Linked DNA regions of Mus musculus. The protein of the gene in region 1 binds, or shares a complex with, the protein of each later gene. Links are inferred from orthologs where the notes say so. Each region holds a gene or a part of one and is shown in the gene's direction. Other genes may lie near its edges.

Region 1 (7,350 bases):
GTATTGCTCAAGCCAGACTGTATCTCTTCTGGTGGTTCCCAACTCCCAGGTCACCATGTTAGTACCAAATCAGCCAAGCACATCCTAAGCCAGAATGATCTTCCTGTCTGACTCTAGAGTAGCCAGGGCCTCAGATGTGTGCACTTGCGCCATCTCACTCTTCAGTAAAGAGAAAATGAAAGCTCCACAAGAAGCAATGGTGTGGTAACAGAGGGTAGAGGCCATTGCTAAGTACCGGGTTCAAATCCCAACTCACCTGCTCATTCCTATGACAAAACAAAAACAAACAAAAAAACTGGGTTAGACCAAGGTCAGGGTCAGGGTTAGACAGGGTCAGGGTCAGGGTTAGGGTTAGGGTTTGACCCAGACCCTGGTCTAACCCTAATCCTGACCCTGACCCTGATTAGAGTCTCTTGTCTGACATGCTGGCACAACTAATTTCTCCCCTTTCTCCTATGCTGAACTTCCCTGTTGGTTCTGAGGGTTTCTTTTCTTTCTTTCTTTCTTTTCTTTTCTTTTTTTTTTTTTTTTGGTTGTTTGTTTTTTGAGACAGGGTTTCTCTGTGTAGCCCTGGCTGTCCTGGAACTCACTCTCTAGACCAGGCTGGCCTCGAACTCAGAAATCTGCCTGCCTTTGCCTCCCGAGTGCTAAGATTAAAGGCGTGCGCCACCATGCCCGGCTGCTGAGGGTTTCTATGATCTACATGTTACAACTCTTGTTCCAGTCAACTCGTCCATAGCTCAGAGACATCTAGTGTTCAACGTGACTTCTTCAGCCCAATATGTTTTCATTCGATGTATTTTTAAAAAATTAGTAGTTTAATATACGGCATGTGGGACCGTGTTACCAGACAGACATAAGAACTAGAATGGTTGAGTGAGCTCAGATCCCAGGAATCTGAGAGATCTCAGGCTGGTAGAAGTGGAGCCATGCCTACCTGCTCTGGAACACATAACCATGATACTCCACTGAAGACCTCAGGCACTGAGTCACCCAGCACAACATCTATAGTTCTTCTCCATGCTAATGAGATATCTAGATAGCCCTGAGCCTTCAGCCAATGAGCGCCCCTTCCTAGATATTCCTTCCCACAAGAGGTATATAATCCCTGGTTCACCCCAAATAAAGTATATGCATTCACATCCATCATTAAATAAAGCAATAGGAGCAAGCAAAGATTGTCTCAGAAAGTTGTTTCATTCAGAAACGAGGTGAAGAAGGCCTTTGACTAAAGAGCTGCGCCTAAGACCCCTGAGCAAGGTCTTCTCCTCTCCAGTTCTTCCAGCACGCTCTGCCCTCACTCCCAGTCAGACCAGGTTTCACTCATCCTGGGCTCTGCCTCGACCTCTCCACCTGGCATGCCCAGATGTTGGAGGGGGGTAAAATCTTGGACCCCCATTCCTGACTCCTGGCAGTACACCAGTGACAGCCAGGTACCCAAAGAAGAAACCACAAATCACAGCATCTGGCCCAGACTTCCACTGTTTCCCCTTCCGGCCTGGTGAAGGAAGATACAAGCTGTGGATCTTCATTTCGGATTTTGCCCTGCGTTCTTCCGGTGCCCCACCCCCACTTGCAGTACAACAGTCCGATTGGTTCAAAAGCCAAAATATGCAAAACTACGTACGTTAATAAGCACTACCCTCCTCTTATGCCTTAACCCACACACCATTACAGTTATATAGGTAGTATCATCAGTTTCTTATGAATCGTAGAGTCTGTCCTCAATCTAGCTTTCTCCTTCTAGTTTACTAAAGGGCTATCTGTCTAGAGCAGACTTCATACACGGATATTATCTGACTAATTAACAGTTGCTGAGGATCCTGATGTCTTCATATATATATATATGGACTTCTGGATCATATAGTAATTCTATGTTTAAATTTCATGTCTGTTGGTAAAATACTGGAGATTGAACGAGTTGGTTGTTGGTCTTTTGTTTATTTGAGACAAAAATAAAATAAAATAAATAAGATAAAATCTTGCTCATAGCTCTGACTAGTCTGGAACTCACTATGTAGGTCTACTGGCCCTGTCCTTATAACAAACCTGCTTTTACTTCCCAAGTGCTGGGATTAAAGGAATACACAGATGAAGTCAGAGCACCTGTGGCCCAACCTCTGAACACTGCTGCACAGAGGACACCAAACTTTTGGAGGACATTTCAGATTCGAACCATGACACATTTCCATAGCAGCTGTGCCATTTTACACCACCCACCCCAATGTTCCACCAGGCTTCTATGAAACCACTGATTATATAAGTATTTTCCTGATTAGAGTACACGTTCATGATAGATCATTTAGAAAACTCAAAAAAGCAAAATGACGAAATTCTCTTTATTCTAATTACGGAGCCATGACCTGAATTCATATTACTCCCGGGAGAAAAGGAAAAGCCGGTTTTTTTCTCAGGCAATTCTGTCATTGTGTTTGATAGCATGGTCCAATAATAGTGCTGGCGCCTGCCCTGCCTGGACCTTGTCCTCAGATTCCTCCGTCCTGGCTGTCCCCACGACCCTATCTTCTGAAAAGGTCATGCAGTTAACCAGGCTTCTGAATCATATTTGCTGGTTGCTTTCAGGAGTGTCACGGGTGCTGTGTGGAGCTGTCACATTCTTGGGCATCTGTTTCCGTATTTTTAAAGCCACCTCAACGTTTGATAGAAAAGCATAAAACTTTTGAGGAAGTGAGCTCTACAAACCCACCACCCACGTAAGAACTGAGCCGTCCTGCCCAGAGGGCATCTGAAAAAGAGATCAACAGGAAAAGGGTGGGGAAATCCTGCCTTCCTTCCCGTCTTCAAGTACCCATTGGCTTCAGACCTTTATTCTCATTGGTTTATCTGGATGTCGCTCCACGCTGGCTTTCCAGAACCAGCCACTGAGAGTCACAAAGTTGGGATTTAAAAGATGCGGTGGGAGGGGCGGGTGATTTTTTGAACTGCTGGCGACCGAGTTCTGGCGGTCCTGACGCGCACCTTGGGCTTGCTCGCGTTCGGTTTCGGCAGCAGGACCAAGAAGGCTTAGGGAAGGCGGCGGGACCCGGCCCCTCGAGGCCAGCCATGGGCCCGCGTCGCAAACCGCAGACCCCAAGGAGGAGACCCTCCAGCCCGGCGCCTGGACCCTCGCGACAGAGCTCCAGTGTAGGTAAGCGAGCCTGCCCTGCACCTCCGAGGCCGGTGCGGTCATCCTGTGGGGCCGGGCCTGTAGAGGGACGGTTCCTGGTCACGGCTTGCCGCTAACCTCGCGTAGGGGTAATGGTTTTTTTGTTTATTTGTTTGTTTGTTTGCTTGTTTGTTCCTGACCGGTTTACAGCAGGGAGAAAAACGAAATGCAGACAAGACAAGGAGTTGGAGCAAAGACAAACTCATTCTGACGGACACGGGGTCTTTTTTTGCATTTATTTACTTTGCATGTATTTTGCATTTATTTTGTGTTCGTGCTCTGGCGACGGCCAGAAGAGAGCGTCGGAACCCCGGGGCCGGAGTTACAGTTGTGAGCTGCCCTTTTTTTTAGAGTGCTAGGAAGAGAACTCGGCCCCCCTGGAAGAGCAGCCTGGGCTATTAACAGCTGAACCAGCTTTCTAACTCCTACTCTTTATTATTTATTTGCAGCACTAGAGATGGAACCCAGGACTCCGTGTATGTTAGGCAAGGGTTCTACTACAGAACTATATCCCCAACCCTCTCCCCGACCCTTTTTTTTTTAAGACGGGAACTCGGTATGTATCGGTGTGTAGCCTTGGCTTGCTGACCTGAAACGTGCTATGTAGACTAGGCTAGCCTAGAGCTCACAGATCTCTGCCTGTGTTGGGGATGGTTGTATGCAGTGTGTATTCAGGAACTATTTCTGAGATCTGGTTACAATCCAGACACTGCCTCAATGTGATGTAAAAACTGTTTTCCATCACCTCTGATTGGTTAATGAGCTGATCAACCAATTGGCTGGGCAGAAGAAAGAAGAGTGGGACTTCTGTTCCCAATCAGAGGGTCCTGAAGAGACCAGGTGAGAAGAAGAGATGGAGAGACCATGTGGGTGAAGAAGGATTACTCATGAGGTCTGGATAAGAGAGCAGCCATGAGGACCCACATGGACCAGAGAGAGCCAGGGCAAGATCAGATGGCAAATAATGGGTCATATAGCCTGGTAACAGCAGCCTAGCCGGGTTAGAATATCTCAGAACCGCCGGGCGCGGTGGCGCACGCCTTTAATCCCAGCACTCGGGAGGCAGAGGCAGGCGGATTTCTGAGTTCGAGGCCAGCCTGGTCTACAAAGTGAGTTCCAGGACAGCCAGAGCTATACAGAGAAACCCTGCCTCAAAAAAAAAAAAAAAGAATATCTCAGAACCTACCTAGCTTAATGCCAGCAGCTTGTTAATAAAAAGGGGGGTAAGGAAGGACTTAGAATTAGATTTACATGCCTGCTTCTGCTTCTCTGGTGCTTGGATTAAAGGCATGCACCACCACATTCTATTTCTCATTGAGGTATGGTGAGCCCCTAAGGGAATAATGTGGTCATGGTTGTACCGCTCGACCAGAGCTGATGTTCGATGTGGACTTCCAGTGTAGAAGCAACCTTCCATTACTCTTATCTTAGGGAAAAGTTTTACATCAGCTGCGCCCACTTCTTGGCTCTCCTACTGCCCTTGTCTGCTGACCTTGTTCTTCCAGCCATTTGGTGCTTTTTATTCCCCCCTCCTTCCTCTCCATTCAGCCTCAGGCCTTGCTAGGTGCCCCCTCCTTTCCCAAGTCAACCAACCCTTCTTTTATGTGGGCCCTTAGACATATCTCCCTTTTGTGCTGTAAGGGACTTTGTGTTGTTCTTGCTACATAACAGCTCACGGCCATCTGTAACTCCATTTCCAGGGGATCCTTCTGGCCTCTGCAGGTACTGCACACACACAGACATGCACATAGGCAAAACAGATACACATACACATAGAATAAAATAAAACCATTTTAGGTGTGTGACAGTGACATCCATGTGTCCCAGGCTAACCCTGAGCTCAGGACACCCTGTCTCTGTATTCCAGGTGTTGGAACTGTAGGTGAGGGCCTGTGGGCCTGACTGGAGAGAGCTTTAGTGTGTAAGTCCTGCTTGAAATTCTCGGGCTCCCACCTGCTAACGTTGACCTTTGAGACCCAGCCTCAGGGTGTTTGAATGCAGTTCTTTCCAGGTCATCTCTGATCACTTCCGTTTCATAAACACCTGTTTGTGTATCATGAGTCTTGGAGTTCTCTTCCTCTTCTATTTCTCAAAATCTTTCTTTTCTGGGAGAGAATAAGTTCTCTCCATGTAGCCCAGTGGAGGTTCCTACCTCTGCCTCTCAGCGATGGATCGCACACGGCACGGCATTCAGTTCTCTCGCTATTCAAACTCCTTGAGTATAGTTTATTTTGATTCTTGGTTTTGGCTCCTTTTCCTTCTGGTGTTAGTCACATTCTTTGGTGGTCTCTAGTTGTGTTGCCTTCATTTTCTGTGAGTGTGTACCTGTTAACATCACCCTCTAGCCCCCAAAAGCCCAGATCTCGAAAATGGTGGGGTGGGGAGGAGGCAGCCATTTGTAGTTTATCTTTTAGTTATGGCCCATCATAGCTAGCTTCAGTTGACAGCCTGATACAAACCCAGGAAGGAGGAACTTCAACTGAGCAATTACTTCTATCAAACTGGCTGGCCTGTGGCCATGTCTGTTAAGCATTTTTTTTTAATTGCTTATCTTTGTCAGAGGGCCAAGTCCACTGTAGCCCACCACCTCCTATCTGGATTTAAAGATAGGGGAGCAGGCCGTAAGCAGCATTCCTCCAAGGATTCTGCCTCCAGATTCCTGCCTTGAGCTCCTGCCCTGGCTTCTGCTGATGGACGGTGAGTGACATATAAGCCAAATCAACCCTTCCCTCTCCAGGTAGGTCTTGGAGGTGGTGTTTATCACAGCAACAACAACCAAAGTCGAGCAGGGTCCTCCCTCTCCGTCTTCAGTGTCTCCAGTGTCTCCAGTCTCTACACACTGCTCTGCCTCTCTGTCTTCAGTGTCTCCAGTCTCTACACACTGCTCTGCCTCTCTGTCTTCAGTGTCTCCAGTCTCCTACACACTGCTCTGCCTCTCTGTCTTCAGTGTCTCCAGTCTCTACACACTGCTCTGCCTCTCTGTCTTCAGTGTCTCCAGTCTCTACACACTGCTCTGCCTCTCTGTCTTCAGTGTCTCCAGTCTCCTACACACTGCTCTGTGTCTTTGCTTTATCATCCTGACCTCACCGGTGGTTAAGTCTCCACCTCCTGCCTGGCACAGGCCGCCCCTGCACTGGTCCCGTCTCCCTTCTTCCATTTTCCTTGCAGTGTTCCTCACTGCTTGGGATCGAATTGGCTGGGCTTTAAATAACCTAGCTAAAGCTACGTGTTCCTGTTTTGCAGGACTAAGGATTGAACGCAGGGCCTTGTGTGTACAAGGCAAGTGTTCCTCCGGCCAGTTCCTTGTGTGTGCTTCTGTTTTGTTTTAGACATAATCATTTTAATCAGTCAATTACTTATATTTATTGACAGTTATACTACTTACTTATTTCATTTTCAGTATCACTACTGTATTTAATGTCTTGTTTATCTCAATAACTAACACTTGAGTTGAATTTAACTCAGCTATCTTTGTGTTTTTAAGATTTATTTTTATAAGCTGGGCAGTGGTGGCACATGCCTTTAATCCAAGCACTTGGGAGACAGAGGCAGGTGGATTTTGAGGCCAGCCTGGTCTACAGAGTGAGTTCCAAGACAGCCAGGGCTATACAGAGAAACCTTGTCTCGAAAAACCAAAAAACAAAACAAAATCAAAACGATTTATTTAGAGGGCCTGGAAATTGGCTTAATAGTTAGGAGCACTGACTGCTCTTCCAGAGGTCTAGGGTTTGATTCCTAGCACCACATAGTGGCTAACAACCATCAACACAGTGCCAGAGTAGCTAACTGCCCTTCTAACTTCTGCAGGTACCAGGCATACACATGGGACACAGACATACATGCAGGCAAAACACCTACTATACACAAATATTTTTTTAAATTATTTATATGTGTGAGTGTTTTACCTGCATATATGTGTGACTGTATCTATATATGTGTGTGTATATACATATATATATGTGAGCGTATGAATGTGTATGTGTACAGAAGTCAGACACAGGTGTCAGGATGTTGGATTCTCTGGAATTGGAGTTAGATGGTTGTAAGCCACCATATGGATGTTGGGCACCAAACCTAGGTCCTCTATAAGAACAACAAATACTCTTAGCCAATGAACCATCTCTCCAGCCCAATTTTTATGTCTAATTATATGTATGTGCACATTAATACAGGTTCCCAAGGGG
Region 2 (7,408 bases), on another chromosome or scaffold:
TGTAACAACGTCCAGCTACCGCTGGCTTTATGTGGGACTGGGGTATCAAACACAGGACATCATACATGCCAGGCGATCACGCTGCCAACTGAGCTACATCACCGTTGTATCATTATTTAAGATGACTCTGTGGGTATCTGTGTGTAAGCATGTGCATGCTCAGTGCAGGAAGCCAGAAGTGGACACTGGATCTGTTGGGGTCCAGGAGTCACCCCACAAACCACACAAACACTGATCTCAGTCAGGTAGGGATAGTTAATTGAGTATTCATCACAGGACTGATGGATCGATCGGGGCCTCAAACCAGACTCAGGAGCTGACTGTGACCCCAAGCCAGAATCCTACAGAGCTTTTAAGCATGAAATCCATGAATGTTTGTGCCAAGTTATTTCATCAGTCAGGATTTAGGAATAGGGAACTTCCTTAGGAGCACGTCTTTGCTGTACATTTATCCTGTCCTCATTTGTCGGGGTGTTTAACTGTGCTGGTGACTTACCTTGCCTGACATTCATGTCTTAACTTGCCAACCAGGATATCATTTACCCATGTACAGGACTCTTTCTGCCAAGTAAGATGTCAGTTCCCAGGGAGGTCTCAGGAACTTTACTCACCCCTACTCAAAATGGAAGTCTTATTCCAAGTAGCTTCTTATATTGGTGCAGGCGTCTCTCTTATGTCGGGGTCCATCCCAGGGGCAGCTTATAAAAGCAAAACCCATAAACGTTTATACATAGATGCAGGAAGTGCTGCTGGGTGGTTGATTTAGGTCCAAGCTTATTGTGGCTAGCTGTACAAAGCTGTTCAAACTGACTGGTTTTTAATAGTACCAAAGCTCAGGACATACCAGAATATGCAATCAACTTGGGAATGAGAAAGATTCCTAGAAACAACACATGAGAAGTTTTCTTTATAGCAGTAATAACAGCATAAAATATCTGGCTAGACGGGCAGCAGTTACCCAGGCCTTAGCAGGATCCGCTGGAGCTGGAGTTACAGGGGTTGTAAAGACACCCAACATGTGCGCTAGGGACTGAGCTCAGATCTTCTGGAAGAGCAGTTTGTACTCTTAAGGGCTGAGCCAGCTTTTGTGAACAGTTTCCTCAAGCCTCCTCCTCCTCTTCCTTCTCCTTCTTATTATTAATAATTTTGGCTTTTTTGAGACCATGTCTCACTGTGTAGCTTTGGCTGTCCTGGAACTCATTCTATAGATTAGGCAGGGCTTGAGCTCACAGAGATCCTCCTGCCCCTGCCCCCTGAGTGCTGGGATTAAAGGTGTGAGTCACCACACCAGACCAAACTTGCATTTTAAAGGAAATTTTACTTTTTACTTATCTCTGTGTGCATAAGCATGTGTGCATGCATACATACGTGCAGGTGTCTTTTGAGTCCAGAAGGGGTCAGATTGCCTGGGAACAGAATTCTAGTTCTCTGTAAAAGCAGGAAGCACTCTTCCTTCTTTCCTTCCTTCCTTTCTTAAGATAATTTATTTTTGTTTTTATGTTCATGTGCTTTGGCATTTTGCCTGCACATATGTCTGTGTGAGGGTGTGAGATCTTTGAGTTACAGACAGTTGTGAGCTGCCATGTGGTTGCTGGGATTTGAATATAGGTTCTTTGGAAGAGCAGCCAGTGCCCTCAACCACTGAGCCATCTCTAAAGCCCCAACAAGCACTCTTAACTGCTGAGTCACAAGTCATCTTTTCAGCTCCTTGGCTTTTGTTTTTGAGACTAGGTCTCTGGTAGTGTAGGCTGGTGTTAAGTTCATTGTGCGGCAAAAGATAACCTTTAATTCCTTGTCTTCCGGCCTCCACTTCCCAGGTGCTGGGATTACAAGTATTCACCACTTTGGGGTGGTGAATAGCTCTTTGAACTATTGAAACCAGGTAATACCTAGAATAACCCAGAGTAGCTATCAACTATTAGGTGCACAGATTTGGGGTGGGGACTCAATTGGGGGTAGGATTTTTCCGCCTCCTAAGCCTCTATTGCTTTCAGTATTAATGTGTAAATACACATTAGGTGTGGTAGTGCATTCTTTCAATCCCAGCATTTCAAAGGCAGGAGGATCACTGTGAGTTTCAGGCCATCCTGGGTTACCTAGCAAGGCACTGATCCAGAAAAGGAAAAAAAAAAAAAAAAGAATAAGTAAAAGCAAAACACAACTTTAAGCACCTACTGTAATGCAGAGCCCAGGAGGCATGACAAGTATGTCTAACAGCCGGTGTGTCAGCCAACAGAGGTGAGCTTAAGGCAAAAATACTTATTATGATAACCTTCATTGCCTGCAAGCCCCACTAGACTCTAGCCTAAACTCGCAAATCCCACAAATTTAACCCTCAGAGTATTGTAGCTGAATCATTACATCCACCAGTTAGAAGAGGCAACTTAGAACTCCGAGGCGGTTAGAGGGGGTTTGCATGCAGCAAGCTCATCTTTCCTTCAAGACCCGGTGCAGATTGTCTGAGTGGATAGGGAAGGGCGGTCCTCAGGAGGGCAAACTTCTAGATTTCTGCTTTATTTGGCCTGGCAATCCTTACCTCTGTCAAAGCCTTTCTTTCCTGTTCTCTTTCCTGGGTTGATATATTATTTTAATATACTAGTGGGCATGGGTGGATTTGAGCAACAATGGCTTTTAATCCTCCTCCCCCCCCCCCCCCGACAGGGTTTCTCTGTATAGCCCTGGCTGTCCTGGAACTCACTTTGTAGACCAGGTTGGCCTCGAAATCCGCCTGCCTCTGCCTCCCGAGTGCTGAGATTAAAGGCGTGCGCCAACAACGCCCGGCTTAATTCTCCTTTTAGGGTGGAAAACTCTCATGATGTTGGTTTTTAAGAATCCAGCCTTGTGGCGCATGGAGGCGCGTGCCTGTAACCCCAGCAACCACGTCGATGATGCAGAAGGATCCTGAAGTTTACGGCCAGAACTCAGTTGGACTCTTGTCTTAAAAGAGCTACACCCTCAAGTGTGTGAGATATCAGCTGTGGATCCTTCATCATGAAGTCCCTGCGCGTAGGCAAAAAACTGGGTTAGGATCCCGAAGGAAAAGGCGATCTGGCCGAAGAATAGGGCGATCAAACCTTGGAGTGCGGCGATCTGGCCAGGGGGCGGGGTGAACTGGCCTCGGGGACAAGCGAGGTAGCGATGGGGAGGGGCGAATTGGCCGTGGGGCGGAACTAGCTGGTCTTGTGTTTGGGCGAGCTGGGCGTGGGGAGGGGCGAGTTAGTCGCGCGGAGAGAAGTTCTGGGCGTGTCGAGTGAGCAGGCCGTGGAGCGGGGTTGGCTGTGGGGGCGTGGAGAGGTGTGAGCAGGCCCTGGAGAGGGCGGAGTTGGCTGTGGGGGAGGGACGATCTGGACGTGAGCTGCCTGTGGGACGCGGCGATCTGGCCCTGGGGAGGGGCTATCTGTCTGTGGAGAGGGATGAGCTAGTCTTGGGGCGGAGTGAACTGGCCTCGGGGCGGAGCGATCTTGAGTCCAGCCCCCTCCAGGCTCGGGGAAGTGACGTGTGCGGACAAAGGCAGAGGCCGCGAGGTGTCTGGTCCGGTAGAGTGGTGGCGGCTGCTGTGGGCTACGGTCTTTGCCAGCCTCCTTCTCAACCCGTCCTTTTCTCTCGGGTCCCTGGAGCCCCGACCCAGGTAAGTATCGCGAGGGACGCGGCCAGGGAGGAGGGAGGTGCTCACCCCAACTGCCTGAAGCGGTGAGGCCCCGTCGTCAAGTGACCTGGGCCTGGCCCTGGCCCACGTGCACGTCCCATGGAGGTTCACCGATCAGACCTGGGCAGGGACTCTGGTGACCACGGATTGGGTTGGAGGAAGCCACGTTGGTGGAGGCTGGCAAGACGTATCTTCACTCGCGCCCGTACATCACTTTCCAGTCCTCAGTTTCCCCTCTGAGATAAGGAAAGCAGCCACTGCAAGGTTGGTGTGTGGAATCGGCGCCGTGCTTGGCTCAAGTCCTCGCAGTTAAGTGCTTGGTTGCACGGGTTGCCATCACGTTTAACTGCCTCCAGCTCTGGCCAACATCGTTACTGTCATGAGCCCTTGAGGCCAAGGTCAGCCTCTCTTCTGCAAGGCTGCCTGCCATCTTTTCCAGATGCTCCAGGCTTTGCTGCTCCACCAACTGTGTGATCATTTTGGTCTTTAATCCTTTTGATAAGGGCCTAGGACAGGTGCTGTAACTGATGACAATGATGTATGGGGTGGGGCACTCAGTGACTGGGGTCTAAGTGAGAAGCCTAAATCCTCTCCTAACTTTTGGTCCTTTCCCAAGTGCTGTTTTAAGGCACATCGTTTCCTTAAGCTGGCTTTCCTGTGTGTGTGCTTGTGTGTGTGTTGGGGGGAGGGGGGATGCTTTCCTGAAGGCCAGAGCCACATAATCAAAAGGTCAGAGTCTGCAGGTGTGTGGTTCTGGGTGTACCCGGAGCTTGTGTTTGCATCTTCTGGACTGACCAAAGGCCACATGATCTCATAGGTGGGCTCCAGCTTTACCAGGGTCTGTGTGATTTGGAGGTTTTAACACGTTTTCCTTACTTGATCTTTTTAACTATGTTTGAACTAGGCAGAGGTGGCACACGCCTCTAATCCCAGCATCCAGGAGGCAGAGGCAGGTGGATCTCTGGGTTTGAGGCCAACCTGGTCTACAGAATGAGTTCTAGGACAGTCAAGGCTACACAGAGAAACCCTATTTCAAAAACCAGACAGAAAGACAGAGAGAAAAATTGTGTTTTAAGATTTTTTTTAAAGATTTATTTATTGCCGGGCAGTGGTGCTGCACACCTTTAATCCCAGCACTTGGGAGGCAGAGGCAGGCGGATTTCTGAGTTCAAGGCCAGCCTGGTCTACAGAGTGAGTTCCAGGACAGCCAGGGCTACACAGAGAAATTCTGTCTCAAAAAACCAAAAAAAAAAAAAAAAAAAATTTGTTATATGTATGCAAGTATACTTTTGATGTCTTCAGACACTCCAGAAGAGGGCATCAGATCCCATTACAGATGGTTGTGAGCTACCATGTGGTTGCTGGGAATTGAACTCAGGACCTCTGGAAGAGCAGCTGGTGTTCTTGACTGGAGCTTGTCTCCAGCCTCCGTGTTTAAGGCTTTTTTTTTTTAAATTATTTTTATATTTGATTATCTGTCTATGGGGGCAGGGCCCAGGAAGGCAAAGGGAAGGCATCAGATCACCAGGAACCGCAGTGATTGCTGGTTTGGAGCTTTTCCACTGTGAGATGCTGAGAAGAGCAGGCAGTGCTCGCTCTAACAGCTGAACCATCTCACCAAACGTCTCTGACAGTGGAGAACTGTACGCTCAAGAGAGTATGTGCCTTCCACAGTGGAGCCTGGGGCTTCTCAGGCTTGTTTAATAACTACAGCTTCTCTATGAAGTTCAGGGTGAGTTTCAGACCAGCCATGGTCTCAGAGTGAAAAGAGGAGGACAGGCACAATGGGTAGGCAGACTGTGTTTATACGCTGTGTAATTCAAATGCTGATTTCTCTGCCTTAGTTATCTTTTTTTAGATGTGGATAAGAATCTCTGGTCTTAAGTCTATGTAAACAGTTTTTTTTTTTACCATTTATTCTCTGTTTTGTCAATGCTGATCTCACCAATACCTGGGCAGAATAGGGAAGAGGGCCGTTCATCTGCCAACCAGAGGAAGGAGATAGGAGAGGGAGATTCGGAGATCATCAGGGAGGATGGGGAATTTGGAGCTATGAAGAAAGGGTCTGGAGAGAGCTCACACGGGCTGTGTCTGGGAGGTGGCTAGATTACCATAGAAGGCTAAGGGAGACCATCTGATTGTTCAGTTATTGAGATGCGGACTTAAATAAATCTTGGCTTTCTTGTGTAGTTATTGGGGACTAGCATAAGGTAAAGAAATACAGGCCATTTAAATTTGCCGTTTATATTTATATTAAGAATAATTTATAGCAGAGTATCTTGCTTGTTATTTAGTCATTTATTTTGAGAGGTGGAGGTGAGGGCCCTGGATCTGCAGCCCAAGTTGTTTCTTCTTTTATTTTTTGATACAATATTTCATGTAGTCTAGGCTAGCCTCAAAGTCACTTTGTAGCCAAGGATGATTTTGAACTCCTGACCTACCTGCTTCAGCCTTTGAAGTGCTGGGATTACAGGCGTGCGCACCATGTTCAGTTTTGGGGGTCCTGAGGCTTGAACCCAGGCTTTTGTGCATCTTAGGCAAACACTGCCAACTGAACTGTGTTTGGTTTCTTGAATCAGGCTGGTTTTGATCTCCTGATCCTCTTGCCTCAGCCTCCTGAGTGCTAGCGATATAGGCATGGAACACACTGTACCCGCTAAGGGCCCTATCTGAGCTTGCACAGCTGGTAAGCAGAGCCAGGCTCCGATCCGGCCTACCCTACTGTTGAGAGGATGATCTCATTGTAGGACCAGGCCTGACTTCAAAAGGGAAGGCTCTGTTCTTGGAACTAGCCATACACGCCCCTAAGTCATCAGTCCCAGGAACTAGGCCATAATTCACCAGCTCCAGGAACAGACCATAAAATACCCCATGCAAAGAACAGCCTGGAGAGAACCAAAAGGATGGGGAAGTACCATATCTCAGGATGCTGTGCTGGGCAGCCTTAGATGGTGTGGGTATCTCTGATTCTGTGGTTAGACTCAGTATAGTCCACTGACCACCTGGACACAAGCAAATCAGAAACTGACCCATGTAACATCCCCTGGCACCCACCAGGGAAATTTTAGATTACCTAACCCTAGCCAAAATTCCCTAGTTCCCTATAAAATGGCCTGCACACCTTTGTCTGGTATGGCCTATCTCTGCATGCAGACTTCTTGCTTTCTTGAAATAAAAACACTTGCCAATCGCATATGTGAGTGGTGGTCTCCGAGCAGCACTTTTAGACTTAACATTTTTGGTGCGTGGGCCAGGAAGCACCCCTGACACCCTTGTCACATTGAATGTTTGACCACTGGCTGGTACATGAGTACTCTGTGTCCCAGTTGTCTGTGTTCCTGTATGTCCAGACAGTCTGAGTTTGTCAGTAGCTTAAGCCAATTACTAGAGGCCACAGGTGGTTCAGGCAGACACCAGTGGAACCCTCGTCATTGTGACCCACTTGAAGTAGACTTGAGGGTCCCACCTGAAAGGGACTTGATCCCACTGGTGGTTCTGACAGAACGGGGCAGGTCGGAACCCACTCTTGGGACAGGCCTTCATTCTGAATTTTCATGTGCTGTCCCAGTACATTTCTGTGTGAATTGATCTTTTGTGTCTCTCTCTCTCTATTTGTAATTGTCTTGATTCTAGAAATGGGCCAAAGCAGCTCCACCCCCTTGAGTCTTACGTTAGATCATTTCAAGGAGATCTGTAAATTAGCAGCCAGATAAGGACTTCATGTAAAGAAAAAGATGTCTGTCTTCTGAAGAGATGACTGGG

The links. The genes of interacting proteins can lie anywhere in the genome.
Region 2: the proteins of Cenpa (region 1) and Ntmt1 are in contact, whole or in part, in a crystal structure (PDB 5CVD), measured with the Homo sapiens proteins. The link is inferred for Mus musculus from reciprocal best matches to the Homo sapiens genes CENPA and NTMT1. Residues at the interface, in NP_001800.1 of Homo sapiens: Gly2, Pro3, Arg4, Arg5, Arg6, Ser7; in NP_001273725.1 of Homo sapiens: Tyr19, Trp20, Met30, Leu31, Gly32, Tyr34, Ile37, Trp136, Asn168, Ile175, Asp177, Asp180, Asp212, Glu213, Ile214, Tyr215.

What each region holds. Positions count from the first base shown.
Region 1 is NC_000071.6:30,663,966-30,671,315, forward strand, and holds the start of Cenpa (histone H3-like centromeric protein A), read left to right. Parts: upstream 1-2,920; 5' UTR 2,921-3,063; coding exon 3,064-3,148; intron 3,149-5,033; exon of another isoform or gene 5,034-5,087; intron 5,088-5,726; exon of another isoform or gene 5,727-5,856; coding exon of another isoform or gene 5,857-5,863; intron 5,864-6,409; coding exon of another isoform or gene 6,410-6,445; intron 6,446-7,350. UniProt on the Homo sapiens protein: Histone H3-like nucleosomal protein that is specifically found in centromeric nucleosomes. Replaces conventional H3 in the nucleosome core of centromeric chromatin that serves as an assembly site for the inner kinetochore.
Region 2 is NC_000068.7:30,804,456-30,811,863, forward strand, and holds the start of Ntmt1 (N-terminal Xaa-Pro-Lys N-methyltransferase 1), read left to right. Parts: upstream 1-3,512; 5' UTR 3,513-3,628; exon of another isoform or gene 3,629-3,910; intron 3,911-7,408. UniProt on the Homo sapiens protein: Distributive alpha-N-methyltransferase that methylates the N-terminus of target proteins containing the N-terminal motif [Ala/Gly/Pro/Ser]-Pro-Lys when the initiator Met is cleaved.